Bombyx mori: one gene and its partners. The protein of the gene in region 3 purifies or fractionates together with the protein of the main gene of each other region. This does not show direct contact. Links are inferred from orthologs where the notes say so. Each region holds a gene or a part of one and is shown on either strand. Other genes may lie near its edges.

Region 1 (10,356 bases), on a different chromosome or scaffold from region 3:
GTAGAGAAAAAATATTAAAACTTAGCAAAATTAGTATATCCAGGTTTTTATTGCTAGAATCTCATGACTCAAGTAGCACAATGGCATCTAAATTTGTAATGTTTATGGGGTCCAGTAACTGTTGAAGTTATATATACTTCTTTAGGCGCGTTATGAAAAATTGATGAGAGTGAAATTTTACGATGCGCGCGCACCGTGACACAAAATTAACAGAATGAAGTTGCCCACTAAATCTACCGACGTAATTTGGCGGGTCTGAATATAGCCGCAGGTGAACTTTCGCGCATGTACACTCGTAAAAAGAAGTGTTATCAGCATTATTTTTTGTAATATAAATGACAAAATTATTATTTAATATAATTCATACTAAATATTATTAAATTATTAACGTTAAATATTTATTATTAATTATTTAATATCTAAAAAAAAAGGGAATAAATTTAATAAAAATAAAGTATAACTTCTTACGAGCGTACATAAGTACACGAACCCTTTTTTTATACTGGCTGAGTTGTGAGCTTCTGCATTATCAATGCAATAAAAATTTTGCGAGTTTATTGATAAATATTACTCTGGCAAGTTTATATTCCATGAAACTAAAACAACAATATTTTGAATTAAAAAAAAGTGTTTTGAACAAAACAAGTATTTACAATCTAAAATATCACAAGTTACATTAATGTTACAGTAAGATTATGCATACAATCATTCTATAGCACAGTGACTGTTTGTATTCAATAATCTATCAACATCGGTCAGCCAAAATATTAGTCTATCTAAATAGCCATTATCTTGTTTGTAACTCAAGAGTAACAACTGAATATGTTGGTATGCCATTGGTTGCTCCAATAAGTGTGCCAAGTGTACATCTCTTAATGATAGAAGTTTTATAAATATTATGGTAATCATAGTCCACTGAATCGGCTTAAACATTATATTATTTGCTTTCAATTTGAATGTGTTTACCAAAAGACGCACCTCTGTGCTTATGGCCAAACTTAATAAACCTAGGCACCTCAAGATGTCCGGTAGGGTCTTATTTAAATGTTGACAGACTATTCGTCTACGTAATGCATTTTGAGAATTCTTGTCTACTAATGGCAAAGCTGTGAAGTTCTCATCTGATTGTGTGTTCTTTTCTTCAGGCTCTGGTTCAGGTATTTCAGTTTGACCAGCAAAAAACGCCTTTACTTTCAATTGTATTTTCTTGCTTTCTTCCTGTAGTATAGTGTAATCTGGCAGCGGTTTCATTTCCCTTTGCATTGTTTTGGCATCATAACGTTTGTCTTCTAATTCGAGCATATTAAGTTTTCTGCATAAAGCTTGGTATTGATCATAGGCTGTGGAATTGTAGAATGTACCTTTTGTAAAATTTTTCAGATATTCTTTCACACTGTCTTCTTTATCTGATACCATTTCTCTCACTTTCTCTTCGCCATAGAGAAAAATTAATGTGTCTAAAGTAAACCATTCTGCTAGACATTTTTCCACTTCTACAATTAATACAGTCACTAATGGCTTTTTCTCTTTCTTTTTTTCTTGAGATAGAGATGAGCTTGCGTTATTTTGTTCATCCTTTGCACTTAGTAAAGTCAAATCAATTTTCTTCTCAGGTTTTTCTATGATATCTCCGACAATGTTCATTGGATTGTATACTGCTTTTTTCATTTTATCAGTATTTTCAGACTTCACTGATACAGGACAAGATTTTTCCTGTAGATACTTTTGTGTTTGAACAGAATTTGATTCTGAATTTAAGATATAGGATTTCCCTTCTGATGCTTTATTTACGCTGTCTTTATGCTTCATTTCTTTTTCATCCAGTTCAGTACTTTCTGTACTTAATTTAAAGTTTTGTTCATTTTGCTCCTCAGTAGCTTTATTATATACATCATCTTTACCATTATTTGATGCCATATCTCTAAGAGTAGCTTTTACAAAACCATTGGTAACTACGAAAGGCTTGTTTTCAAGTTCTACTTTCACTCTGTCAATTATTGACACATCAATCTCCTGTCCCATGCAACCATCTGCCGAATTCATTGGTAATAAATTAAATTGTGGGATTATCTCATATTCTCTAAACCAAAGCGGGCTTGTTAGCATCTGCTTTTTAATGTGCATGGCAGATTTATAACAACTATTACTGCAAAAGCTTTTTCTAACTGTAATATCATATACTTTGTTCGTTTTCATGGAGATTCGGTATTTTTGCTTCGGTATGTCTTTCTTGGATAATGTGTTCGAGCAGAGCGGGTAACCACATAGACTTATGATTGATCGTTCTTCAATAACATCTTCGAAATGAGACTGGTTTAGGTCTGGTAAGCATTTGAGGAAATAAACTTCGTTTATGCTATTTTCTAGAAAACTTTCAACTATATGTTGCGCTTTTGAGTTACACTCTCGTTTCTTAATTATCGCTTGTTGAATTTGTTCTTTCGTGAGGTCTTCTATTGTTGTAGGTTTTTTTTTAGGAGGCTTCACGTTTGTTTCCATTTTATTCATAAAATTGTTATTTTTATTTCAGATCAGAACCATAGTTATTTTTTTTGGTACAATTTTTCCTTATTAGGAAAGGCAAAAGGATCTAAGCCCATAAGCCTTGTCTGTTCCATGAACCGTAGATAATACACTTAATATATTATGTTAATTCCATGGAGTTAATAAGTACCTACAACGTTAATTCACACAATGCTTTTTCTTTCATGTTAGCAAAAGTCAGATGTCAATTTCATTTCACTCAGAAACTCAGAACTCAGGTTGGGAGTAGGTTACGTGTCTAAATCTATGGTTAGTATTAGATTTTTTTTAAATTGGATTGGGTCCTAGACATGCATAGATTATGTAAATGGAATAGACTGAACTGATTTCCTCAACATATTCTGGTACTATTATTTACCCTGTGCATTATTAATGGCGGTCTGGTTAGTCGTCTCTCAAGGTTAAGCTTTATTTACTAGTTCCTCAGTCCGTCGGACACGTCAGTAAATCTTAAGTCTTTTAATCCACAATTCCGGTAACCATAATGATTTAATTATGAAATCATCAAGTTGTAACCGTTTTATTTTTGATTGCCTTATGCTGAAGCAATTTTAAAATCTATATCAGTAGATGGGATACAGCTCGCCTACTGCTGAATAGTTTTCATATATAGACTAAAGTATGAATGAACTCACGTGGAAATATTAAGCCGAATTGTTTATTTCGAAACGGTTCTTCAACTATTCAGAATAATTCGAAAAGCTTTGGTTTTGTTTGTTTGATTTATCTGTTCCGCTCGGCTGGACAATATCTGTCCGAAACTATAAGCCTACAAAGTTATTACGGATTGGACTGGCGTCGTTTAAGCGTTGGACATGATATTATTTAATAAAACTATTAAGATCCAGGATATACATTAACGGATCAGTAGTATAGTACTAGACAATACTTGCGTACTAGGTACACACATCCATAATGATCCATAGTATTTTAGTCTAGTATTTATTAACAGACTTGTCTATTTGACAATTCATTTGTATGATTTGTATTTTGTATTAATTAGAAATTGCTCTCAGACTCGTCAGTTAGGCTTTAATTTGGTATACAATTTAAAATCATAATTTATAGTCAGATGCAATATTTGTAGCTGACCCAAAAGTGGGTGAAAAAAATTAAGTTTCAAAAGATAAGAGCGCGCCTGTTATGATAAAGTTATTTACTTTTATTTTTAAAATTATCAATGAGTTAGATAACGTTGTTGGTGTCGAACGATATGAAAATTGCATTTGGTAAATAGAAATGGAACGCAGCAATTTGAAGTGGACAATACAGTTTAATTGATAAGTAGTAGGTAAGTGCTACGAACACTGAATCATATTTAAAATTATTTTGAATGTAATGAACTAGAGTCCTTATTGATACCTGTATTTTAAAGCGCTTAAACAAAAATGCATAATTTTTTTTTTTTTAAACTTACAAAAACTTGGTATTCATATGCCAGTCTTATTTTAGTTACAATGTTCTATACTAGTTTTATTTTTATTGCCCTTGTAGGCAGACGAGCATACGGCCCACCTGATGGTGAGTGGTTACCGTCGCCCATGGACTTCAGAAATGCCAGGGGCAGATTCAAGCCGCTGCCCACCGCTAAACTATACTAGTGCTTCACTTAATAAAATTGTGAATTAAGAACATTAAGGATTTTTCCTACTTACAAAGTAATGACTAATGTGAATAATTATTTCTTAATTATGTAATTAAACCAACAAATATTCACTTCACCAGATCCACTAGAATTTCTCCTATTTGATAATATTTACTTATGAAGATTTAGCTTAACAGGCTCTAATTTATTCATAGAAATACGATTATAAAATATATAAAGCAAAACATAAAGCCCTACTTTAAAAACTAGTATATATTGAGAAGTTGAAGCCTAAAATAGAATATAACACAAAGGACCCAAATGGTACATCCCAGTTCATATTACACATATATTAGTTTAAATTTTAAAACATTGAGCGCTACTATAAACATAATTTTCACATTCAATATAAAAATAAACTATTTAAAATTTAAGTATAAACATACTGGAATTTAAAAATCAATCCATAAATATACAATACTCAAATCACCCAGTATGAGTTTATGTAAGAGTGGCCCCAATTTTTGTTTTGTTTTGTAATTGGTGGTTTTCTTAGTCTTTATTAACCAAAAAATCATGGCATTCCATTTTATAATCTTGGTTAATTTAAAAATCCTGATTCTGAATGACTTCATAGCATTGGAAGAATAGCCACTCTATCCTCTCCTCACATTATGTTGATAGTGGCTGAAACAGCTAGGAGAGTGCTAGGAAACTCTGCTGACATGCAATAAATGGTTTATTCTAAGTTCTGCAAATATTGCTGATGTTAAAGACTATTGGTAAACTGAATGCATCCATGTTTACCTATGGCTGTATTAAAAATAAATTCAAACTGAAGAATTGACAAGACAATCACATGAATCATATCAATCACAATGGCCTGTGATTAGTATACAAAATTTGGTCAACATTTTATGAAAGATAACTGTCCATTGTTCCCAGTATTGTTTTAAATTAGATTCTATAAACTAAAAATAGTATAATACAAGGCTTAATACTATCATTCAGCTGCTTGAGAACTACTGTAAGTGATTTTAGTGTGATTCAGTATTTTTAAACAAAATTTGCTATTAAGTGAAAATATTACCCATATTTCTCCTATGGTACTTAAAAATAATAATAAAAAATCCTCATATTGATTTAAGTAAAATAGATAACCTTTTTAAAAAAAAATCTGATTTGAATTATTTTGGATTTGCTATCTGTGCACACACACGCAATAGCCGCTAGAGTCTGATTTGCTTATTTAAAGGGTAAATTTACATTGACATTGAAATATACAACTCTGATGTACATATTTACTTAAGTAAACATTTGAAGAACTGGGTGCTTTATGTCTAATTGCATCTTAGATTTAAGGTATCTTATTTATTTAGAAATTTTATTAAATTATAAGAATTTAGAACAAGAAACACGCAAAACTTATAGAGCTCTATTAAAGAACTGAGTAGTGTGTTCTAATACAAATCAAACAAACAATAAAGCTTCAAAATTTTCTGAGATACTTCTTCTGTTTTAAATGAATTTTATCATTATTTCTTTAAAATCTCACAAATTCATCAGTCTCAAAATATGATTTCCAATTATGTACTATGGATATCGAAAACTGATGTATAATTATATCAATATAATATATAAATTAAAAATGTGTATCAACACCCAGTGACCCAGACAACAAAATTGTTCATCACATGAATGTTTGCTCAAAGTGTGAATCGAGCCATGACCAGCAGTCAGGGTTGCTGTTCACTGCTTCACCAGTTGAGTAGAATGAAGTTAGAATAAATTACTGTTCGACTATAGTAAAAAATATGAAGTTGGCTTTCAAATACCATTTTCCCATCCATCATCATCATCATCATAGTACACCCACTCATTACGGATCCTCCCGATCAATTAACGGTGCTTTTAGATACCACAAGCGCCGGTCACCGTCCTCGTCGAACCCGTCGCTTGCGACGAAGGGCTCGACGAGCGAATTGATCCATAGACACAGCCCACTGAGTTTCTCGCCGGATCTTTTCAGTGGGTCGCGTTTCCGATTCTGCGAAGCATTGCTCTTGCTAGGCATGTGTTAGCATCATTCCGGTTTGAGCCCCGTGAAATAGCTTCTCAAGGCAATCTGCTTAGGTAAAAAAAAACACCCACTTTATTTCTTAGGGTTTGTGAGTCTTTTTTTTTCTTAATATTAGTACTTAATTTGAACCCTGGCTATCTTTCATTCTGATACCCAGCAAGGGTCTCCGCTTCGGCGATATAAAGTGTAGGCTACGCTGTAAAGCTACGGCGGAAACAACTTTAAAAAAAGTGAACACCTCTCACTGATTACTCTAGAGAAAAACCGCTAAGATGCACATGTGGATGTGGTTCGGTTACGACCTCGGAGACTTCCTGTTCTCCGGCCTAATCATCAGCACGCGGTGGGCGTTCGCCCTAACCTGGATCGCGCTGTTCTTTGTGGCACTCCTGTTCGAAGGTTCCAAGGTACGGACAAAGCTTTTAGATCTTGTCTTTTTTTTTTATTGTTTAGATGGGTGGACGAGCTCACAGCCCACCTTGTGTTAAGTGGTTACTGGAGCCCATAGACATCTAAAACGTAAATGCGCCACCCATCTTGAGATATAAGTTCTAAGGTCTCAAGTATAGTTACAACGGCTGCCCTACCCTTCAAGCCGAAACGCATTGCTGCTTCACGGCAGAAATAGGCAGGGTGGTGGTACCTACCCGCGCGGACTCACAAGAGGTCCTACCACCAGTAAGTCCCTCTTAGTAAGCGAATACATTGTAATGAAACGCCAGAGTGTGAAATTTAATATCAAAGATTATTGAACTAGCCGTTCATATTGAACTAATTTCAAAATAAAATTATATGAATATGGCCACTTTCGCTTAATTTATTAAGTAAGGAAAGTTAAATGAATTGACGACAGGGAAGTCGTCCGAGAATTTAGGATTTAATTCGTGTTAATTTCAATAAGTCAAAAGTTTTATAGTGTTTCAAATATTTCAGGTTTACCTAGCCAAAGTGCAGCGCGAGGCACACAACAAACTGTACCCATATAGATCGGATGAAAGACGAAACCTTCTTTGCGACAGGTAATTCTATTTAACAATAGATACTCCCGATCAAAACGGCGTTAGATTTCTGACGAATATGCAGTCCAGTGAGTTTCGCGCCGGGTATTCTAAGTGGGTCGCGATTTCGATCCGGGGATAGATTCTGCGAAGCACTCCCCTTGCTAGGTCTAGTGTTAGCAAATTCTCTTAGGTTGAGTCCATGAGCTCACCCATCCGTCCGATTGTAGTTGGAATAGCCCCTTAGGCTGCCAGCGAATAGGTAGGGGGGAAAAAATGACCATGCAAAATTGCGTTTTATTAGCTTCAGGTACGTTTGGTTTTCGTATAGAATACTATTGTGATCTCGTTATCGAATTGAGAGATTGTGTTCTGTGTGCTTAGTGCGAGTTTTTTAACGTTCTCGATAGCGTAAAAGTTAACTCAAAGTATGGAGTTGGAACAGCGCCCCTACCGGCAAACTTAGGCAAACGTTCCAACTCCATACAAATTTAAGTTCACTTTTACGCTATCGAGAGCATTAAAAACACACTATCACAATTGCGGTATCTATGGGCTACAGTAACCACATCGCATTGGTTGTCAAAAAATAGTTTAATGAAAAAAAACGTGTGAAATTAAAAAAGGTCTATATTTGGTTATCATAATGAGTTATCTATATATTAATACGTGAAGCAAAAACTTTGTATCCCTTTTTACGAAAATTCCGCGGACGGAGGAGTATGAAATTTTCCACACTTATAGAGAATATAGAGAAGAAGTACACAATGCTAATATTTTTTTTAAATAATGCATAAAAGATACATTAAATCAATAAAAAAAACATCACACACACTACATACCATGTATTTGACGCACACACGCATGCGTCATACTATTTATTGTCAAACTTTTGTTCTTGACGTCTGTGGTCAAATTGAGAATAGATTAAACATTGTTTGTCTTTGTTAATATTTTTTATAGTGTAGTCTTGGCGAAATTTGCGATTATAGAAGTTTAAAATACAATCATAATAGTGTACAAACTTACAATTCCAATTGATTATAGTCGAATTTCGACTACTGCGGGACCTCTAGTAATCAAATAAATAACTGGGAACAAATTACGCACGGTCGTCCGGTCCCAAATTAGTATTCCCTGTGTTATGGGTATCAGAGGCTGACATACATATTTACGTTTAAATAAATACATATACATATAGATAATAATCATCCAGACAAAGAGCAAACAAACATGTTTATCAAAATTTTGTTTGCCCGATGCGGGAATTGAACCCACGATCATCGGCGCAACAGTTAGAGGTCGCTAACTACTGTACTATCGAGTCAATCATAGTTAAAAAGTAAAAGTATTATACATAATATATGTATTTTAAAGCTAAACCTTTTGTTTTTTATTAACTTTATTCGATACATTACATCGAGGTCAGTCGGTTTAATTTATTCTAGATCGGGCGTTGTCCGGAACTTGGTATAATGCACGGAAAAATTGTAATTCTATTAGTTTTGTGAAAGTTTGAAACGAAACTAGGTTGGGCGGACTCGTTTAGTTCAGTGCGTTAGTAACACAGAGCGACCTCATTCCTCCAGTTGGTAGGAGACTTTCAACTGTTTGACTACTGAACATCAGACGAAATGGTTCAAATCTATGCAATTACCTCAAGCACCGGTCACCGTTCACGTCGAAGCTTGCGACTCAGGGTTCAGTGAGTAAATTAACCTATAGACACAGCCCACTGAGTTTATAGTCTGATTTTCTCAGTGAGTCGCATTTCCGATCCGGTGGTAGATTCAGCGAAGCACTGCTCTTGCTAGGGCTAGTGTTAGCAACGTCGTCAGGTTTGCGCCGCGAGAGCTCACCTACTCGTTCGATTACGCTGGCATAGCCTCTCAAGGCTTACCAGCTTAGGTAGGGTAAAAAAAACCTTAAATACATGATTTAAGGTTGGTTACAGTTTTGTTTATGTCGGACATTACGTCTCAATGCCCTTGAGGCGGTATTTCGAACCTTAATTATATTGGAATGTCATTGCCCCACAGCTTACATCCTTTATAATATTAATAGCGGTCATGGCCGTTCGCGCCCATACACTTTTACTAATCGAACTAGTTCATGCCACGGCTGTTCAAAATACGTAGTAAAAGTTAATTGAGTTATTAAACAAACGATACACATTCGACGTCAGTAAATTTAAGAATTTATCCTGTGTTACAGGTTTAATCTGCGTTATAAGTTTCTCCTGTGTACAAAATCCTAACTAGTCTAGCTTAAAATCAGAGTAAACTAAAATATGGCATATGGGAAAGTGTACACAGAAAAGAGATTTATTACTTTTGTTTGACACATGTAGAGAAAATTAATATCCGAGCGCTATTTTTAGTTTATCTTTGCCGTGTTCACCGACAGAGGTTAACAGATTTTTTTTTTTTTTATTGCTTACATGTCCCGAATAGCATAGAATTTAAATTTTATTGATAAATAAGGCTTATAATTTAAAATATTGTTCATTAAAATGACATTACGAGTTCGTCACAAGCTTAAATCACGAAAGCTTCAAAAACGGTAAACTAATGCGCGGAAAATTTAAAACTGCATTTAAAACATTCGGTTTTGTCGTTTGCAAATCGATTCTACTTTGATTTCTTATAAGTCTACAACTAGGAAATTCAGTATTATTTACGACTTTGCAAACTATGATCAAAGCAATAACTATAAAAAACATCCATATCATTTGAAGCTTTGCCCAAGGATGAGGCTCATGTTAAGGATTTTTTCTTTTGAAATGATTACGTCCACAATTTTTGAAATCAAATTGAGCGTAACTCAATCTACGATAACAATCATATCATCAACTCTATCTTTATAGTTGATCTGTAATAAATAGTGAATTTTTCGCTTGAACTACACAAGTATATTATTATGTTTATTGTTGAAATAAAATAAGTAATTATTATTGTAATAAAAGATCACATTAGTTGTTTATCGAGCCATAGTTCTGATCATACATGATTAAGATCGTGTGATATTTGCCGCATTTTAATATTATATTATATTATTTTTACACAATAATGTAATTTAAGGCAAGAAAATCTTTTATTCAAAAACAGACGGTAGTAACAAAATATTCAAATGTCGCATCAGAACTGTAA
Region 2 (10,880 bases), on a different chromosome or scaffold from region 3:
ATTACATTGAGGCCGTGCGCGGCCCGGTGTCGCCCGCCGTGGCGGATGCGTGCGGCGCGGGTGCGGCGCCCGCTTCGTGACCCGCGCCCGCCTAGTGCCAGTGCTTCCACGTGCGCTGAGCGCCGCGCCGCCGCGACACCGCGACACCACCGCTCGACGCCGCACCTGAACGACGACTGGCGCGCCACCGCACACACCCGAGCGTTTTTGGAAACTAAGCTTGTCTATGTTAGCCGGTATCGGTCTCCGCTAAAACGATGACGTCGACAAATCTTACGTAACGCACTAGCTTTACGAAACGTGACGTCATCTCGTTTGATTTAAGTCAATCAAAAATCGATATTTTTTTTCGATTTGAATTCGTTATCGATATAGGATACTTAAATAGTCATATTTCGTTTGTAGTGATGTTAATGTGCAGTGAAAATGTCAGTTGCTTTGTTTGAACTCGAAAGATAGTTGGCCATAAACGAAGTTATAGAACGTTGAGCGTAAATAGGTGTTTCATGAAATTTAAATTTAAAAACGAATTGAAATTATAAATTTTCGGAAACACCTAATAAATACGTTTTGTATGAAACTATAGATATGGCAATCTCGACTAAGCTGTCACTGCGATTTACGCTTTACTGTGAAGCTTTGTTAAAATATTTATACTAGGCAAATTTCTGGTTTATATTAATAATGGTATTCGAAGAATGGTTGTTCTTAGATTATACAGTTGTAATAAATAAACCATTCGCTCAATTATAAACTCCGATAATACAAAAGACTAACGCTAGGACCGGCTGCAAGTGATTATTTTAAAAATGTAATACGATCATACGATCGTGATTTAAACTAAACGTTTTATTGGGCTTTGTGTTTGCTAAAAAAATTATATACATCGACTCGAATAATAAATCAGGTGGATTAATAGAAGTGGTGTTCGGTTTGGTGTGCAGCAATGGACGATTTAATTTGCCATGCCACGGGGAAGCAATCTACACGAATAATAATATATATAATAAATAGTTCTGTGGTTTTAACATTTAAAATTAATCGTTATATTCCCTTCTTGTAGATTTCTTGTAGTAGATTGTGATTTTAAACAGGAAAAAATGGGTAAAATATTGACTTGAATATTGTAGTAATCTATGTGGCATGTGAACTGGTCGTACTAGGAGGATCCCCACTTAAGTGGGAACCATCGTCTTATTACTTCCGCGAAACAGTTGTGTTCCAATTATAAATGGCGTGGTCGTTGTCATACGATTCAGCATTCATGGTTCGTTTGCCGAAATACAGAAAAACCTATCAAATAAAGCCATCGGTGGATGCTCGTCTCGAAGTTTTACAACATTTTTTTCAATTTAAGACACAAAATATATTCCGGTATTATAGATGTTATTCGATATCATTAATGTTGTTACTGTTAAGAAATTTTGATGTTTTTAGATAGAGATGTTCCGTGATATCGATTACTTCATCATTAGGGTTATCCGTTCCCCTTGATCTATGGTATTTCTTTTTAAAACATCGATATTGTAATGAATGTATCGAATGATACTAAACTATACAAAATAATATCGATAACTTGGTGTTTAGCTGAGCCTGACCCACTATACTAACTACATCTTAAATAGTGCGTATTCGATTTAAGTATTCTAATTAAATTATACACTTCAAAAATTTGGTGTGTGTCACAAATTCCCATAATTTTTACCCTATGACTATTTGAAGCCCCAGAAATAAAAATATTAAGAGAAAATAAGTATTTAAATAGTTTACTGAAGTGAACTAAACGATCTCTTGTTTTTTCATTATTATCAATGCTCCCAACGATATACATAGTACTAATTGAATGTGACATTGTGGATTTACTTTTGAAAATGTTTCGATTACAAACATGTATAAATGTCGTTGTTCAATAAGATGAATTGCTTTAAATTCTATAATAGTTCCCATCTTGTTTCGTGCCTTGTATAAAGCTGAAATATGTTGAATTATGTGTGTTTTCTACAAGTCGAAATTGTTGATGGAAATAATAAGATTTCCCTAACTTGTTGGCACACAACAATGCAGTTTCATCTTGCAGAACACATATATTTTCCAACAGACATGTAAGCTTTTTCAGTGATCATTTGTGTGCAAATTTTATTGTAAATGCAAAATAAATATTCATTGTTTTAAAACGATCGACTCTTATAAAATATAATCGTGTTTTATGCACAATGTTATATCTCAAATATTTATTGTAGAAAACAATTAGATATTTATGATTCGATCATAGGATATGATCGACCCACTCGGGTTGAATATATTTAATATTATAAAAAAATATATTATATTATGATAAAATAAAGTGTGAGGTTAGAAAAGAAAAATAAATACTGTACTTGAAAGGTAAGTTAAGTGAACATTAGGTAAATTACATTAGGCTTCAATAAAAGTTTGTTTTTGAATTGAATTGAATTGAACTTTAAATTAAATTCAAAATGTGTTTTTATGTAATAGATTTGTGTATGTTCTAAGTCCTGATATTTATTTTAACAAATATTTTTTCGGGTCTACTCCGAATGACTTGTTTCATATTGACAAAAAATCGTATTACTGTGTACCTAGGTAATTGGTATTGATCAATTTTAAATCAATCAATATAAACGACGACTGGCAATAAGGTAATCTCTGAAATTATGTAATTTGAATAGTTTATTATTGTATAGTGAGAATAATAATTGCTTTTAAACCTAAAACCATTTTAGTCCAATATAATTGTATGTACTCTGATTTTCTTAATTGATGCATTCTATATTTACATGCAAATTCATTTGGTGCTTTATTTGACACAGATATATAGGCTTGTGTCTGATCTCAAAACTGAGTATTATTTTCGTTAGATGCCATACGAATAATACGTAGTATTCAATTCACTATTTCATTAGTTATACTAATATTTGCACAGCCGATTCGCAATTAAATGGAATAACTGGTGTCTCTTGTGAAAAAACCCTATAACAAATACCAGCAGCGTTATGGCTAACCATAACAACCATACAAATAGATTTATCTTTTATAGATGTCTATGGGCTCCAGTAACCACTTAACACCAGGTGGGCTGTGAGCTCGTCCACACATCTAAGCAATAAAAAATAAAAAAAATATCAGTCTCGCAAAAAATATCAGTTATTTCGTCTCATAGGCGACTAGTAGAATACAATTAAAATATAAATTTGTACATAGGCAATTGGTACACCAAAGACATTAACACTTTCGATAATATTTTATTATCGATTTAACTAAATACAATTATCGATTATATTCGATATTGATTATTCGATTATTATACATAAGTGATTATTTATATAGTTATGAAAAATTTACTGATTGACTTTGAAAAAATATTATAATAATCTGAAATAATGCGAAAGTGGCAAATTAGCTTTTCCTGCTTACTTACTAGAGTTATGACAGTTTGTGATTCAATGTAATCATAGTTCTAATTTTTTCAACTTTGGAAATCCTCTGTTCGATATACTGTATTCAATTTCTATAATTTTGTTATTCTATTTTCCTTATATGGTTACTCATACAGTCAAACGCTCAATTGTAAATCTTAATAATGTATCAATTTTTATTATTATTTCAAACCACCATGAACACTGCCCAAATAGACTGAGTGTCCAAATATTGAACTTCGTTTTTATGTATGTTTTTGTTATTGTGTATGTTTTGAAGGTTTTTTATAATAGATAATTCGATTATTTTTTTGAATGCCAAATAAAAGAAAAAAGTATGAAAATATCGTTTTATTTCATTGTACTCATTTAATTCTTAAGACTATGAATATTCCTAACGTTAAAAATTGAGGCGTGGTAGTTCAATCCTTCGCATAACGTGTTCTGTAATTGTGTTACATAAATTTCAAGTTATTGTGGTACTAATCCCAAATAGTCTCCAATTAAAGTCCCGATTGCAAACTGTAAAACAAAATTTTCGACATTTTGTTAATGATCTAATATTAAATATTATTATTTTAGACATTACATACCTGTTTTACATTGATTATAAATTTATGTACGAAACTTTGAAATTTAATAGAAATGTGTCTATTAGTGCGTATTCGCATATGCTTATCGTTAAAAATATTTTTGATGTCGATTGGCAACACTGATAGTAATAATGTAGAACTCTTGTGATTTACAATATACATTTAGGGAAAACTATGAAAAAATTGTCCAGAATTCGACATTATGTTTAGCTTTTGAATTAAATAAATTTCATTTCAAACTTTTTTTGCACCTTTTCAAAAATAAATGTCAGTAATAAAAACAAAAAGATTGTTTTTTTTTTCAAAGCAGAATCTGTGACACCTTACAATATAACACATGACTTAATAGCAATTGTGACTATTTTATTATTTTTTTATTGCACGACCAACTTATGTTGAAAGTAAATGGAGGACTGATTAGTTTTCTACTATATACTTATATACAAATATTCCATCATGGATATTTTAAACATAATTATTAAAACAATGTCTTACAATGCCACTCGCGTCAACCCTCGTACCAACAATCTTTAATCGGATCACATCCTCTTCTTGTATTACGCTATCCTCTTGTTTACTCTTATAACATGGAGGATTTACATTAGGACAGAACTCCATATAGTCTGGTATTGACTGTAAAATAAAAATATTTTTATAATTTCATTTTATGGTACAAAAATTTGTAAACCTTTCTGGGTTATAAAATATTATTTGGTAGTATAAGACAAAGGGAAGATCTTTCACCAAACGGGTGTAATTGGTAGATGGGCTGAGGGGCTCAATATTTTTAGGAAGGAATACTCTTGATAATTTTAAAATAATTTAAGCTTAATTATATAATTCACTCTGAATACTCACATGATGGGATATAAAACATTTGAGAGGTCCTATTTGCGCAAACATGCCAACCTAAAAACATTAAACATAGTAAATTTACAATTTTAATTACGACTTGATGTGGCTGTGCCCTTGGCATTACTGACATGAACGATAGTTACTACTTGCCATCAGATAAGTTGTAAGAGGGCCTGACAACAACGGTATTAAAAAAATTATGGGCGGAAAACCTTGTAAGTGGCTCTTTAAATTAAATTTGATTTATTTTACTTAATAAAAGAGACATTTTAGTATACACCTATCCCCTATTTATACTGAAGATATATCAGTTACAAAACAGTGTAAAATAAAATCTTTATTTGTGCTATTTGAAAGCATGTAAAATAAACTTCCGCTACTACTACAGCACTAATATTTTTTTCAATTGCTTTTTCATGATCTACTTTCTGTTTGGTTACATATTAAAGGTATATAATTCACTTAATGCATGTGACATACCACAATACAGAGACTAGTACATTATTGCATCAGTGTTGCCAAATTAATGAGACCCAATAATGTTAATATGCAACCAATGTATACATTTTCATAAATTTACATAATGTGAAAAAGCCAAAATCAAGTATAATAGGTACCGTATAAATAGGGGGTAGGTGTTACTAAAGTAAACTGTTGATTTATAAATGGTGGTACTAAAACAGCATACTCTAGATTAATTACAGGGTGAAGGAAACTTTTTCTGAAAATATAACCGCAATATAATAAAACTAACTTATAATATTTGTTATTTTGTAAGTTTCTATTTGTGATTAATTTCACTTTGTTAGGAATTACCAGTTCTACTATCTTACTTCAGAAAAGATTCCAACTCACCCGAAATAACATTAAGCATAATTTTAATAGTTTAAGTCACCTTGTTTACTTGTGTGACAATACCATCTAAAACTTCTCCTTTGAATGGTCTGAACACAACAGCTTTGTATTTAACAGGGTACATGACAAACCCTTGTCCATGTTGTATGAGACCAGCTCCGATATTGTCTATTTGAGTTACCGCGATGACAAATCCATATCTAAAAATGTTTTGCTTTTCACTGTATTTTGTTCACAAATTGCACAATAAATTCAGAGAACAGTTAGTTAAATATGTAATGGCAGTAAGGCAATATTTGAGCTTTTTTCAGTGAATACCAACCACCCTCTAGTTTATTTTTGCCACAAAGCAATCCTTCATTCCAGTTTGAAGTGTGGTAAAGGAGTTTGGAATGCCATTGAGATATCAACTCAATTTATCATTAAGTGATATTATACATTGATGTTGCTATAATAATTATACATTGATATTATAATTGTTATGGGCTCAGATAACCACTTTTTAACAATTGTTCCATAAATCATGAAATAATTTATCTAGAGCCAGGTTTCCTAATGTTTTTTTTTTTTATTGCTTAGATGATTGCTAACGGGATCAGTTTAGCAAATTTTAAAATTGGTAAGTGTTTTGTATTAATAGGAAAAAAACTAGAGAAAGGGTTTTGTAAAAGTGATTTTGCTATGGGCTATGGAAATAGTTTGGGCATCCCAGATCTAGAATAATAAATATAAAAAGCAAAAGTTACTGTCAGTTCCTGTTTAAGCCTATTTCAGACCTTATTTTCTATTCATGTAACACTTGTGAGTAGAGTGCGACTTCTGAGCAGCAGCTGCAGGGAAGACAGTTCATTCCAGTATTTATTTCCGATATTAAAGATGAAAAGTATTTTATACACTCCATAGTTACAGAAATAAATATAATGTGGAAATTAGCGAAGCGTTACTCACATCGCAATCAAGTCGCTAGGTCTTGTTCGAACATAACTCAGTGGGCCTACGGCCAATTAATACCGACTTACTTGCCAGTACAGGTGCCTTCCACATCAGTGTATAGCTTCTGTTTGACTGTCTCCAATAGTTGTGGACCGAAATATTTCGGATGTAACAAAATTTCGTGCTCCAATGAAATCTGAAAAGTTTTATTTACAAAACGAATGCATTGGCGTTCATTTTAAACAGAGTGAAACAGGAAAATAAAATATCATACGTGGTAGAACATTTTTCAGCGGTGGACAAATTACGATTAGTATTCCATTCAATTAGATTTGTTTTATTGTTATTTTTTAGTAATATACATAAACAGCATCAACTCTCAACACTGCATGCTAATTTTAAATTTTAAACCAAATTGAAAATTGAGTCATGTCAACAGTCAATGTCATTATTTTTCCTTTAATTTGAGCATTGGACAGGCAGAAGGAATGTAACTTAAACGGCTAAATGCAAATTTTGTTATTGTTGTACTAGTAACGTGGATTGCATTATTAACAAACGAGCAACGACCTCTCGATATTTTCGTTTAGTCATAAATTAGAAGTAGTTGCTAAAAATACCAAATCATAAATAAACACATAATCAACACTTTTCACCTAGCACAAAAAATTAAAAAAAAATCAAATATCAATTACTTATAATCATAAACAAACTTCCTTATTTATAGTTCATATAAATAAATTTAAGTTACAAATATTTTTTACATAATTTATGTAAATAAATGTTTATTTTTTCAATTTAACTATTATTAAAAAAATCAGTATCTCATGTGACTAATTTACTATAGAAAATTAAAATTCGTTTCACATCACTAGTGGAGATTGAAAAATGCCAAATGAATGGCAGGCTATGTGTATTAGCGTAATCAGATTGTTGTAAAAATGGCAAAAACTTACGATTGTTTATTCAAATTACTTCTAATCGGAGATTCGGGAGTGGGAAAAACATCAATACTATTTAGATTTTCTGAAGATGCATTTAACATCTCCTTTATATCCACAATTGGTAAGTGGTTTCTTCAGATCAAAAGTGTCAGTGAAGAATTTTTTTGTACACTTATTGTAGGTAATGGAAGTGTTTTTTGTTTCCTATTCATTGTTTCATTTTTTAAATACATGATGATCAGGGCGCGGCCTTTATAACGAAACCCTTATTAATTTAAAGGACACTAGAATTAATGACATCATACTCACTAATTTTAATTAGTCCCTCCAGTTTCAATGGGTTTTTGTTTCCAGGTATCGACTTTAAAATTCGAACAATAGACCTTGATGGCAAAAAAGTTAAATTACAAATATGGTGAGTTTTATTCTTTAACAAAAGATTATCATATTTGGATTAAAGAAATTTAAAAGTTGTTTCATTGTTATTTTTACTGTAGATTTATGTATTAAAATTATATTTTACATGTTCATTATCAGTATGTAAGTAATAATCAATGAATTAATGTACATTATAGTTTGTCTCACATTGCATATTTAATCTTCTTACATTATTTTTTTTGGTAATTAATTTGAATCACTGGATTATTGTATTACAATAATACAAAATTTAAATTGTAAATTACCATTTTTTAAATTAGTACTTATTTAAATTTAGTGTATCACAAAGTAATACAATGAAGAATGGTGAAAAATAATACTAGTGGTAAATCATATTGTTGAACCCACCAAGGCTAATACCACCATAAAAGTAAAAGCCTACTTTTGACACAAAGAAGTCATGCTTTCTTTTTTGAATGGTGGGACATCATTCAAACATTATTCATGTTTTGATTTCTATTTGCTCTGGTAACTTACAGGACTGGCTTTTAAGTTTTTTTGTCAGCTTGCAAAGAAAGAAGAACATAATAATTCAATCTTAACATAAATTCCTAAAAGTTTTTTGGGAATTTGTCAAAGTTGATATAGTATATAATAGGCTTTTCATAAATAAATAGTCTTTATTAATATTTCATGACAACTTTATGAATAATTGTTTTAAGAGTATGTTTTGTTCAATATGCATGCATGTATTAAGTGTGTATGAGTTGTCTGAATCTTGTATGAGTTGATCCAACTAATGAAATAAATGATGCAACATATAATAGTACAGTAACATTAGTTAACAATAATATTTTAACAGCTTCATTTTTTCACACAATTAAATGAGAATTTTGGTTGAATTTTCTAATACACTGTCAATAGATTGTTGCTGCTTGATTGATGTGTAATTAAATCTCAACGTTCATTTACTCACCATATTTATGTAATTTTGGTTCAAATGTTATCTGCCTAACAGAATCAAAACATTAAGTCAATTTCTATATCATTTTAGGGATACTGCTGGTCAAGAGAGATTCCGTACAATAACAACAGCATACTACCGTGGTTCTATGGGAATTATGCTTGTCTACGATGTTACGAATGAGAAGAGCTTTGAAAACATTAAGAATTGGATTAGGAACATTGAAGAGAATGCCAGTGCTGATGTTGAGAAAATGATACTTGGAAATAAGTGTGACTTAGATTCTCAAAGACAGGTGGATAAATGAGTCGTCTATTATCAAAGGCGGCAATCTGTACATTTGGACAAAAATTTTTTATTGATATGTCAATACAGATTTATTTGAATATAATCGTCTCCTTCAAAGAATACGGTTCAAAACCTGCATTAAATAAAGGTTAATAGTTAACCTGTTATTTATCTAAGATGTCGTTCCGAAGAGTTTTGTGACTGCCAATGGAATACAAAGTCAATAATTCGTTTTTCTGATTTACCAATCATTGTCCAAAAGTCAGATTGCCGCCTTTGATAATAGTCGACTCAAATAGAGTTGATTTAAAATTCTTATGTTAATGATTATAACTGAGTAAACATAATCATTTCTACAAATTCATTTATGATACTAATAAGAACATAACATCGCTTATTTGTGCTAATATAATTATGGTTCTCAATGTATTGTACAGGTATCAAAGGAGCGAGGTGAACAATTAGCCATAGAATATCAGATAAAATTTGTGGAGACATCAGCAAAAGACTCGTTAAATGTTGAATATGCATTTTACACTTTAGCCAGGGACATAAAAGCGAAAATGGAAAAGAAACAGGTATTTATGCAAAATTTCAATTTAATTGTAATAATAAATTAGTCTGTTTTATCACAATATTGCGTGAAGGTCATTTTCATGAATGTCTATTCCCGCATCCCACTCTGAGCTAATTTTATGACAGTTAATGACACATTATGTGTTTAGTATGACTACATTTCCTTTATAACCTCCGTTGGTGGTATGATTAAGAGATTGAAAAGCAATTGTCTCATGTACAGTTAAAAACGGACAGACATGTTAATAATTAAGACTTTCACAACAACTAAAAGCCGTGAATACACTGAGCGTTTGATCTCAACTGTAATTAGAGACTTATAAAGTATCATTAAGTTGATAAATCATAAATTGATAATCCATACAATTTTAAAAGTTGCCATTAAAAAATAAACTTTAGTTATCTAAGATTCTGTTGCTTGCAGTAGTATTCAATTATGGTTACAATAATATTACCAAATAAATTAAAATCAGGTAAATAAAAAAAAAACAGGAAATTTTATGTGCATACAGTAGTGAAATAATATACCTAATGATCTATGTATAATGACTAAATATCTTTTGAACGTTTGATTTCACCATGGAATTGGTAACCTTGAGATCAAATTAAAATGCAAAAAGTCAAGAATTACCATATTTTCCATGGGCGTTATAAAATACGACTTAAGGAAGCTATCTCAGTATACTCTGAAAATTACCCGTGCAGTGTTAAATAACCAGCAAGCAACCATACTAGTGTTGCGGTGTTTTGTGAAACTGCACAGGGAAGTGACACCATTATGCCTACTTCTGGCGCAAAACAAATATGCGTTCCCGTTCGAGAAGTTCTAGTTTTAATGCGATACAATAGAGAGGACCATTCCGTGTCTCAAAATGGGCGGTACCATTCACATAGTGCCCCTTATAGCTAGTAGATAGAACAATAAACCAGGGATCCCGTGTATGCCAGTAATAATAAAATCTAATCTTAGTACTTTGTTTGTTTCATGGCCGCTTTTCGAAATCCAGAAGGTAAAATATACTTTTAAACATTTACTCGTGTTGTGTTTTTGTATGAT
Region 3 (10,883 bases):
ATATTCTCAGTGACGTATGTGCCATGCGCGACAGACGTAAGAGTAAGTGTATGTGAGTAAAGCATTCTATTGCGAGGTTATAGACGTTGTGTATCGTAGTTATTGTAAAAATATTTTTTTTTTTTTTATAACGTTTTGATTTGGTATTCAAAACAATCGATGAAAGATTAACCTTTTGCATCTCCGTTTTAATAGATTAAGAATAATAAGATAGTCAGTTGGTACTAATGTTTACACGATTTAAATAAATATTAATTTCAAAGTGAACGATTGTGTATATTACGTAAATGTAGATTATCTCAGATAAAATTTAAACGACATTAAGCGATATCACTTAAAAATTAAAACTTAATTTATTTTACAGCCCCATCATATAAGTGTCAAAGTTAAAGTGGTATAATCATTATAAATTTTGGTGTTGCCCACCTCGTGAACATAATGTGTAGTCTTATTTTTTAAGTACGAATATTATTTGTAAAGTTGTATGTATTATGGTGCTGCGCATTACTAATTTATTACGTTTTTTTTTTTTGTTGTTTAATTTAGGATTGACCAATTGTCTCCGAAGCGAACAGATATATGTATAAATTTTGAATTATTTTAAAATAAAGTATGCTGTGGAATCATTTGTTTTTTTTTTGTTTGAGTTTTTTTAATGTTTTTTTTTTATTGCCTTTGTAGGCAGACGAGCATACGGCCCACCTGATGGTGAGTGGTTACCGTCGCTCATGGACTTCAGCATACCAAGGGCAGAGCCAAGCCGCTGCTTATCGCTTAATATTCTCCACAAGCCTCGTTTGAAGAAGGACATGTCATAGCGCTCGGGAAACACCGTGGAGGGGAGGGGATGTGTGATAAAATAATAACATCTACTGTCATAACTTTATACTACGAAGCTAGAAGTCATTTCACGTTGGTGTTAATAACAATTTTTTAAATCACGTTTTCGTTAAGTCCCACTATGCGTACAATGTGAAATGGAAGTAAGAAGTTTGATTTTCATTTTGTTGAGTCTTCATAAGTATTATCGTTAATAAACAATTTTGAATCCAACCAAGACGTTATAACCCGGCTATCATTATTGAATGCATAATATACAATACTTATTGTGGCCGATTTTGAAAATAAATCCTATTTTATTGATTCCAACTAATTCCAAGCACAACAGAAATTGAATCTGGAATTGGCAGTTTCATAATATTTTTTTAGGCTTCCGCATGGAGGGTATAGGTAAGGAGCACCATCTTGTCTTTTTTTATTGCTTAGGTGGGTGGACGAGCTCACAGCCCACCTGGTGTTAAGTGGTTACTGAAGCCCATAGACATCTACAACGTAGACGCGCCACCCATCCTGAGATACAAGTTCCAAAGTCTCAGTATAGTTACAACGGCTGCTCCACCCTTCAAACCGAAATCACGGCAGAAATAGGCAGGGCGGTGGTACTTATCCGCGCGGACTCACAAGTGGTCCACCAGGTCCACCACCAGTAATTACGCAAATTATAATTTTGCAGGTTTGATTTTTATTACACGATGTTATTCCTTCACCGTGGAAGTCAATCGTGAACATTTGAGTCGGTCTATTATCAAAGCCGGCAATGTGACTTTTGGACAATTATTGGTAAACCAGAAAAACGAATTATTGACTTTGTATTCCATTGGCAGTCGCAAAACTCTTCTGAACGACATCTTAGATAAATAACAGGTTAAGTATTAACCTTTATTTAATGCAGGTTTTGAACCGTATTCTTTTAAGGAGACGATTATATTCAAATCAATCTGTATTGACATATCATTAACATTTTTTTGTCCAAATACACAGATTGCCACCTTTGATAATAGACGACTCATTTGTTGAGTACATATTTCATTAGAAAAATTGGTACCCGCCTGCGGGATTCGAACACCGGTGCATCACTACACACGAATGCACCGGACGTCTTATCCTTTAGGCCACGACAACTTCAAGTTTACTCGAGTAATCCATATGAATCTATAATATTTATATATTTTTTAAATAATTTACATATTTATAATATTTAAATCAATAATAATAATTTAATAATTCAAATAATTTAATAGGTAGAAATGAAATGTAAACAGAAAGTAATTTTAATTCAAAGATAATGTTGGTTTAAAGCATAATAATTGAAGCTGAAGTGGTTCCTCCATATTTTTCTTTTCGAATACACTAAATACTGAGTTGGTATAATAAATAAATAAATAACTATATAATTTTTTGGCAAAAGTGGCAGAGATTTAATAAACTGCATCATATAAGTTAAAATAATACCTTACCTAAGCACTAATCACGCGTCGGTGCAGATTCGTAGGTACAATATAAATGCATTAAAAAACATTAATAGTACAGGTTCCTTATCCGCAGATTAAAAATATGCGACCCAATTCCTATGTTCGCTGCTAAAGATTTCTTTATTCGTGGATTTAATCGATACATACACATTGATAAAAAGGATTAGAATATGTAGGTATCCAACATAATATCCTTTGTAAAAGTACTTTTCCATGTTCACGGAACGCTTGCCCCGCGAATAAGGAGCTTTTAGTGTATAGTAAAGTTCGTCAATAACTGCTACACAAACAAAAAACTCTTAACAACCACTTAGTAAAGGGACATTTAAAGAAAAACCATTAGGTACGGTACCATATTTTTTTGTAATCTAGATCTTATCAATGGTTACTGAACAAAAAAAGGACAGAAACAGAAAATAAAATGGCGCTCAACTGTTTACTGTAGAGGTCATTCCAGCCTTAAATGCTTAAAGATAAATAAAACCAAAAATTTAAATAATGTCTTTCTATCAAATTTTATTTCTATAAGGGTGGTAAAAAGAAAACAAAATTATCAATTACACTATCAGGTTAACAGGACATTATATTGATGCCGAAGCAAATTTTAAAGAACATAGTCCTACCACTAAATATGTAATTCTTAAAATTTCAATTTCATTTATTCCTAAAATTTGCTTCAGAAAATTTTAGAGATTTCTGCAATATTTTTTCGTCTGCAGCTACCTACACAGGTGTGTTTTATTGTATTCTAAATAATAATAAAAAAAAACATTAAATTTAGCTTAACTTGGTAAACAGAACGATTTTCTTATAACAAATTCTTAAATATTAATTAAATACATTACTTTGAGTCGAGCCCAAAGAGATGGAAGAGACCTCATGGAATTCAACAGTAACAATATTTTTGTTTTAATGTCACTCTGTGGGCAATTCGCTCAGAAATTTAATTCTTAATTAGTAATATTTTTTAATAAATTCCTAATGTTTGCATTAGAAACATTTGAGAATGATGTGATTATTCTTTCAAAGTGGTCAACTTAACACAATGTTGCTTGCCATCATGGCATTTTAACTCTATTAGGTAACTTAGCATAACAAAATCTTATTAAATCTACCATGCAATCGAACCTGTTGAAAGCCAAGTAGAAGTTACTAGAAATCTTAAGTTCAGAATCAAAAGTAATTACTATGAAGTAAAGATAATAAATTAGCTATAAGTTTAAAACATTGCCTGACTAGCAATTTTAGGTATTTCATAAAAACAAAAGTCTTGCAAACCTCATTTTTCTTATTATGGTTTAAAATGTGATAAAAAACTTCGTTTTTTCTTCATTTTATGGACATATACACCCCATTGAATAATGAAGAAATATAGATTCAGATAAATCTACTCTTTTTTTTATTTTATTGCTTAGATGGGTGGATGTAACATAAATGCAATGGTCTCAAGTATAGTTACAACAGCTGCCCCATTCTTCAAACCGAAACTTATTACTTCGGCAGAAATAGGCGGGCTGGTAGTAGCTACTCATGCGGACTCACAAGAGGTCCTACCACCAGTAATGACGCAAATTATAATTTTGCAGGTTTGACTTTTATTACAATGTTATTCCTTCACTGTGGATGTCAATCGTGAACATTTGTCAAGTATGTATTTCATTAAAAGAATTGGTACTTGCCTGGGATTCGAACACCAGTGCATCGCTTAACACGAATGCACCAGACGTCTTATCCTTTAGGCCACAACCAATTGTATGTTATTCTTCTTGTGTTATTATACCATTCAACCAATTGAGGAAAACTTTCCACTTTAATGAAATGTTAACAACATTCCATCGTATTACAATCAACTTATGATAGATAGCACGTGTAGTTTCAACAAATGAGTGCCGTTCATACATTTAGTCATATGCACAACAAAGTGTAGAGGTACATTTCACTAGTAATGGAATATCACTAGAACACAATGAATTACTAATTTTTAGTCATCTTTAGTACAATACTCTCTTTGGGCTCATTATTCGACTTAAACCTACTTGTACACTTATATTTACGGTAATGGATGTTGGTTTGGTGTAAGGCCTCCATGCTCAGGGCTGTGTTTTTGCTTTTTTCTCTTTTTCTCTTTTTTTCTCTTCTTTCGTTCTTTCTCATCGTCATGACGTTTTTGCTTCTTATGCTTTTTCTCATATGTGTCTGGATTTGATGAATCTAGAATAATAGATATGTTTTATATTAAAACTCAAGACAAAAATGGAGTATAAATAATATAACTTATAAAGCAATTTAAAAAGTATCACTTGACATCTAAAGTTAAATGAAATCATTGTGGCCTAAAGAATAAGACGCCTGGTGCATTCATATTGAGTGATGCGACTGTGTTAGTGTTGGAATCCCGCAGATAAGTACCATTTTTCCTTATGAAATATGTACTTGACAAATGTTCACAATTGACTTCCACAGTGAAGGACAGTGTTGTAAACAGACTCACTAAAAATAATTGATAGGGTGTCTTCTGAGCCCGCACGGGTTAGTACCACAAAATGTAAAATGCAGAGTACAATTACACTGCAATTCAAATACTGTCTTAACTAGATTAATGTAGTCAAAGTGCCTGGAAGACTCACCTAGACCTAAATAGCATCTACAGGTGGCTAATTTGTAATATTGTCTACAAGCTTGGGACATAGCTAAATCTATTAAATCAATGTTGTTGAGTTCTGAGTTCTTACCTTGTAAAGGTGTCTCTTGCCCAGGAGGTGCACCATCTTTATGCTTATGTTTCTTATGTTTGCTTTTATGTCGCTTTGGTGGTGTTGCACTCACATATCTGTACTGCTCAGGAAGTGGGCCAGGGTGTAATCGAAAACCTGCCAACTGAGCACTAGTTAATGGCAGTAATTCTTTACCACCAATTGGTCTCTTAGCTATAACTGAACTTAGAGTACTGTTATCGTCCTGCCCAGGTCCGTCAACGATGCCCGGCAGGTTCGGAAGGAAAGATGATAGGGATTCCTTCAGCTTTTTGCCATTAAACTTACTGTAAGAATGTACAAGTCCATAGTAGGCCATTAAATTTGTAGCGCCTGTCAGTTCACATTCTCCTGTAAAAGAAATCGTCGAAGTCACTTCCTGAATATAATTATTTAAGAATTTGAGAAGAGAATGTTAAAGAGTTGGAGATACTGACCCGGGGGTTCTTTCATCAAATAGAATGGTCCGCTGTGCACTATAGACGGGTTTTTGCCTAAGGATATAGTAGTTTTGAGTGTACCAGAAGAATCTTGGCGAGAGACGACTGGTGACCTCGCACCCCTCGGCGACGATTTTGGCGAATATGGTTCTACTTTCCTAAACTGATCAGACATCATCTTGGATGACCATTATCTACGAAACGAACTTAAATAAATTAAATACTCTAAACAAAATCACAAAAAATTAAAAAGACCTTCCCTACTCCCAAGCTTTTGACAACTCTAAAAAATAAAAGTAGGAACAATGTTGCAACACTTTTTTTTTAAGGGAACTGAGACCTTTAAGTCATGTCTTATTTTAATTTATATTCAATTTTTATGAAAAATAATATTATGGAGTGAAATAATGAAGACGACTAATTTGAGATATTAATCAACGGGATGAAATTAAATGAAATGAAATGGGATGAAATATAATCTCAGTAAAATGGTGGTCATTTACTAAGATTTTTTCAGTGGACTTTTTGGAGGATCCCGAGAAGTTACGTCCAGCGGCTTTGTTTCATTTTTCCACATTTGCGCACTTTCACAGATATTAAACACTTAATAAACCACCATTATTACACATTTAAACCCGAAGAAACACTAAATAGACAAAATAAAACAAATCACACAACTTCACTCCTCACGTTCCCGCCAAAAAGTCCTGTTGCAACACTAGCTTTGTAACTCCCACAGACTCTAATATTGTTATTTAAAGAAAATCATAACAATAGGTACATGGTTTTGTTGGTTCTCAAGAAATTTATATTTAAATTAAATACTAGCAATTCTCAAATTAAAATAGCAACTGTCTAATTAAAATAGACTTGTTTTGAATTAGTTGAAATAGTCTATTATAGTTCTGACACATAAGCACTTGGAGCTTCCGTGATAATTTTGTATGGAAAATGAATTGTGATGTCTATGAGCTTTGAAAACACTTTAAAACTGGTCCAATGGTGTTGGAGTTTGAATATGTAAGTAATGGCAGGTAACACTTGACACATGTAAGGTTACAGTTTTCGAATATTGAAATGCTTATTTAAATATTTAAAACAGATGAGTCTTCTCTTGAGTGAGGACAATGGCTTCTCTTCTAGACACGGACTATGCAACATCTTAGGGTTTTATAAAATAAAATATTGTAATGGTGTTATATATTAACCATGAAGCAGAGTGTTTTTAAATAGCCCCTCACCTACAGAACCCAGTCCTCTCAAATTTAACCGTCCAACAAAAGGTCTCGGTAACAGGTCATACAATCTTTAAAAAATCCACTAAACAAGAAAGCATGAGCTCATTCAAACTTTGAAGCAGTAAAAAAATCAAACATTCTTATTGAAACAAATGCTTAGGCTTTTTTTTTTGTTTAAGTCGTCCTGGCTTAAACTATAAGACGTCCGTAGGCTTAGTGCGAGTTTCAAAAATCGAATCGAATGACTCGCATCGAGTGTACGCTCTTCACGGTGAAACGTGCGGAGCTCTGAGTGCGAGTTACTTGATTTGCAGGACGTTTATTCATTTTGAAAAGCGATATTTTTTTCTTTTATATTGGTAGCACGCAAGGTTTTTTTTAAGGCGTTTAATTGAAATGCCAAGCTTTCTAACGATATTTATAATTAGTCGGGTAATGGGTAATGTACCTGTGCTTAGTGCAAGTTTTTTTAATTACTCAGTCGATGTTAATGTTATGTTTATTTTGTGTGAGGTTGTATCAGTGCCACCTAGTGGTAAGCTTATGAATCTCATTTTGTGGGAGAGAGAAGGTTTGTTTATGTTGCTGTCTCATGTATCAAATAGCTTTACCGAAGTGAGCCTCTCGATTATTGTATGTGCGAGTGCGAGTTGCAAATTAATGGATTTTGAGAGTATTTCTTCACTTTCAAGCAAGTTAAGTAGTCACTAAAATTTTTGCCGTGAAAGCAATATAATATCAAGATTTTTTCTTTCGTTTTTAATAATAATGTTGTTTTTGAAGGTTTTATCTATTCTAATGGTTTATACACATATATTTTTTCGGTTAGAAAATTTTATAGACGTCTAGCTAGTTGTAAATACATATTAATTCTTTGCTTTTTCATTTAATTCTTATTAAATCATTGCTTTTTTTTAAAGAGATGTTTGATGAGAGAGAGAGAGTGAGATAGAGTATTCTTTATTGTACACAAAATGAATAAATATTGCGAAACATTCTTGGTCTTATCGCTAAGAGTGATCTCTTCCAGACAACCATTAGATGGGCAAGAATAATTTCGAAATGAATTGCACACTGTGTACCTATCTATTATAGAAATATATATACACACCCGCACGCACACACGCACACACACACACACACACCCACACACACACACACACACACACACACATACACACACGCACGCGCGCGCGCAATATACATATTTACAGGTACATACGTACAGATTTATATTTTTAAATTATATAGAAATTTGAACAATGTAATAATAATTTTGCTTCTTTACACATTTATAAATAAGGATGGATGCTCGTAATAATTTTAGTATATTTGGGCCACCTAATGAAGATCATATTATCATACTATTACCGTAAATACAATCATTTTATAAACGTTCAACGGGTAAATGATTAAACCTATGTAAAACATAATTTCTTTAATTAAAAAAAGCTGAAATAATTACCTATTCCAAGATTAATTATGTTAAGTATGTCTAAATATGTAATTACAATTAAATAAATTCTATAACAAACTTCTAATTCTAATACTTCTATTAAAGTTACTAAAAAAATATGTTTATGCTGGGCAGTTTTCGTGTATTTTAAAGGTTACGCCATTACGGCAAAGTTTGTTTACGAAATTGTACCCTTAGAATGGAAGTGGTATAACTAAAAAATTTAAGATTAGTTTTATATTTCAAAACACTTATGTATTATTATTAAGAACCTACATTTTAAGTAGGTAATACGTGAAGCAAAAATGTTGTACTCCTTTTAACGAAAATTGCGCGGACGGAGAAGTATGAAATTTCCCACACTTATAGAGAATATAGAGAAGTAGTGCAGATTGCTAATTTTTTTTTTTTAATTGTGCATAAACAATAAAAAAATTAACTAAATGAATAAAAAAACCTTACACACATTACCATGTATTTGACACACACACACACACATGCATTTATACTTTTTTTGTTTATTGATTTATCAATCTGTGGTCAAATTGAGAATAGATTAATATTTTTTGTCTTTAATATTATTTTTCTATAATGTAGCCTTGGCGACATAGAGCAATGATTATTATAGAAATGATGATAATAGAAAGGTGACAATAGAACTATAATAATGTTCAAACTTAAAATTTAAATAAATTATGGTCAAATTTCGACCACTGGACTACCATTAGTAGATAATAATAAAATCATTTATTGCCTTTCACACAGATTTAGATTATTACAGGCAGCCTACAAGGAAACAACAAAAAAACAAAACACTATTATATCATTTCTGGCAAGCAGCTCAACATTTGCACTTGTATATTATTAATAGGAATTTTATTAAGAATATTGACAATTTATGAGGAATTTGACAAGTACGGATTAGTTATAGATATATGTATTTACATGTTGTAAATTAAATTAGTTTTATAAGTGCAATAAAAATAAAATTTTATGATAAAATGATAAAGCCATACCTTTTTCCAATGTGACGATTAGAGGGTATCCTATTATTCTTTTCTATATTATTCTATCAGCTTATAAAATTAAACAGTCTCTTTTAGTCTAGAAAAGGACAAAGTACTCTTTCTGTCTTTTTCAAATAAAATGGCATGCCTTAAAGTTTTTAAACCGAAAAACTTAAAAAATACAATTATTCTATTACAATATTGAAGTTTACCAGAAACTAAGAATTTTGGGTTGAGCCACTTTAATTCTAAAGGTACAAAATAGTATTGAACACGTGACATTACCCGAATAATTTTGAAAGTAGTAGGTTCCCATTAAAATGCTGTTAAAATGCGTTGTATTTCATTTAGACGGTCTAATGCCAAAACATCACGTGCTACCAATATACGAGAAATAATATTATTGCTGCTCTCGGTGAATAAACGCCCTGCGAAGCGAGTAGCATATCTCAACTCACACTCACAATTCTTAATTTTTCACCGTATAGAACGTAAACTCGATTTGATTTTGATTTATTCATTTACAATTGAACAACTAGGAAAAAAAAATTAAAAGACATTTTGGAGGGACCGCGAGGAGCTAAATTGTGTGAATTGTTTTATTTTGTCTATTTATTGTTTCTTAGTTAATGCGTATTTAATATTTCTTCGTGTATAAGTGTAATTTTGAGACCGTCCTGGCCTAAAGGTTAAGGCGTCCGGTGTATTCGTATCTTGCAATGCACCGGTGTTCTAATCCCGCCGGCGGGTATCAATTTTTCTAATGAAATACGTACTTATCAAATGTTTACGATTGACTTTCACTGTAAAGGAATAGCATCATGTAATAAAAATCAAACCCGCAAAATTAATTTTTGTAATTACTGGTGGTAGGACGTCTTGTGGGTCCGCACGGGTAGGTATCACCACCCTGCCTATTTTTGCCGTGAAGCAGTAATGCGTTTAGGTTTGAAGGGTGGGACAACCGTTGTAACTATACTGAGACCTTAGAACTAATATCTCAAGGTGGGAGGCGGCATTTGCGTTGTAGATGTCTATGGGCTCCGGTAACCACTTAAGATTAGGTGGGCCGGGAGCTCGTCCACCCATCTATGCAATAACAAAGTAACGTGGGTTTATTAACTGTTTAGTATCTGTGAAAGTGCGAAAATTTTAAAAAATTAGACAAAACCGCTGGACGTAGCTTCTCGAAGTCTTCGAAAAGGTCCACTGAAAAAAATCTCAGTATATAATCAGCATTTTGCAGAGATTATATTTTATCCCATATTATCTGATCTCATTTCATTGCATTCCATGCCAATTGATTAATGCTTCAAATTAATCAAATCCATTTCACTCCATATTATCATTTTTCATAAAAAAAGATTAGGCTTTATGGCATGATACTTTTGCCTCTCTAGTTGGAAAAATAGAACTACTAAAGAAATACTCGATCGAAACGTTAAAACCCACTAATTTGTAACACGCACTCGCACAAATGTCATTCGTGGTACTCATTTCGGTAAAATTACTCGGTTACGAGATCACAACGTTAATATGAACTCGCACTCACAAAATAACACCGGGTACGTTTGCCGCTAGGGGCGCTGTTCCAATTGCATACAAATTTGAGCAAACTGGCTCGCTATCGAGAGCGTTACAAAACTCGCACTAAGCACACCGATGCGTTCGTGTTGA

What was found.
Region 1: the proteins of mediator of RNA polymerase II transcription subunit 19 (region 3) and putative RNA polymerase II subunit B1 CTD phosphatase RPAP2 purify together in Homo sapiens (affinity purification with mass spectrometry; 3 studies listed by BioGRID and IntAct, with this or other methods). This does not show direct contact. The link is inferred for Bombyx mori from reciprocal best matches to the Homo sapiens genes MED19 and RPAP2.
Region 2: the proteins of mediator of RNA polymerase II transcription subunit 19 (region 3) and DNA-directed RNA polymerase II subunit RPB7 purify together in Homo sapiens (affinity purification with mass spectrometry; 3 studies listed by BioGRID and IntAct, with this or other methods). This does not show direct contact. The link is inferred for Bombyx mori from reciprocal best matches to the Homo sapiens genes MED19 and POLR2G.

Annotation. Positions count from the first base shown.
Region 1 is NC_085121.1:1,513,480-1,523,835, reverse strand, and holds putative RNA polymerase II subunit B1 CTD phosphatase RPAP2, read right to left. Parts: upstream 2,509-10,356; coding exon 706-2,508; 3' UTR 554-705; downstream 1-553. Other genes in the region: uncharacterized protein LOC101736188, read left to right, coding at 2,791-2,793, 6,467-6,616, 7,143-7,228.
Region 2 is NC_085131.1:4,003,378-4,014,257, reverse strand, and holds DNA-directed RNA polymerase II subunit RPB7, read right to left. Parts: upstream 7,119-10,880; 5' UTR 6,960-7,118; coding exon 6,948-6,959; intron 6,870-6,947; coding exon 6,760-6,869; intron 5,941-6,759; coding exon 5,781-5,940; intron 4,940-5,780; coding exon 4,889-4,939; intron 4,664-4,888; coding exon 4,526-4,663; intron 3,960-4,525; coding exon 3,909-3,959; 3' UTR 3,774-3,908; downstream 1-3,773. Other genes in the region: myosin-I heavy chain, read left to right, coding at 1-80; small GTP binding protein RAB8, read left to right, coding at 7,615-7,738, 7,972-8,032, 9,050-9,254, 9,685-9,825. UniProt on the Homo sapiens protein: Core component of RNA polymerase II (Pol II), a DNA-dependent RNA polymerase which synthesizes mRNA precursors and many functional non-coding RNAs using the four ribonucleoside triphosphates as substrates.
Region 3 is NC_085116.1:16,049,726-16,060,608, forward strand, and holds mediator of RNA polymerase II transcription subunit 19, read right to left. Parts: upstream 6,209-10,883; 5' UTR 5,684-6,208; coding exon 5,503-5,683; intron 5,417-5,502; coding exon 5,045-5,416; intron 4,524-5,044; coding exon 4,363-4,523; 3' UTR 2,803-4,362; downstream 1-2,802. UniProt on the Homo sapiens protein: Component of the Mediator complex, a coactivator involved in the regulated transcription of nearly all RNA polymerase II-dependent genes.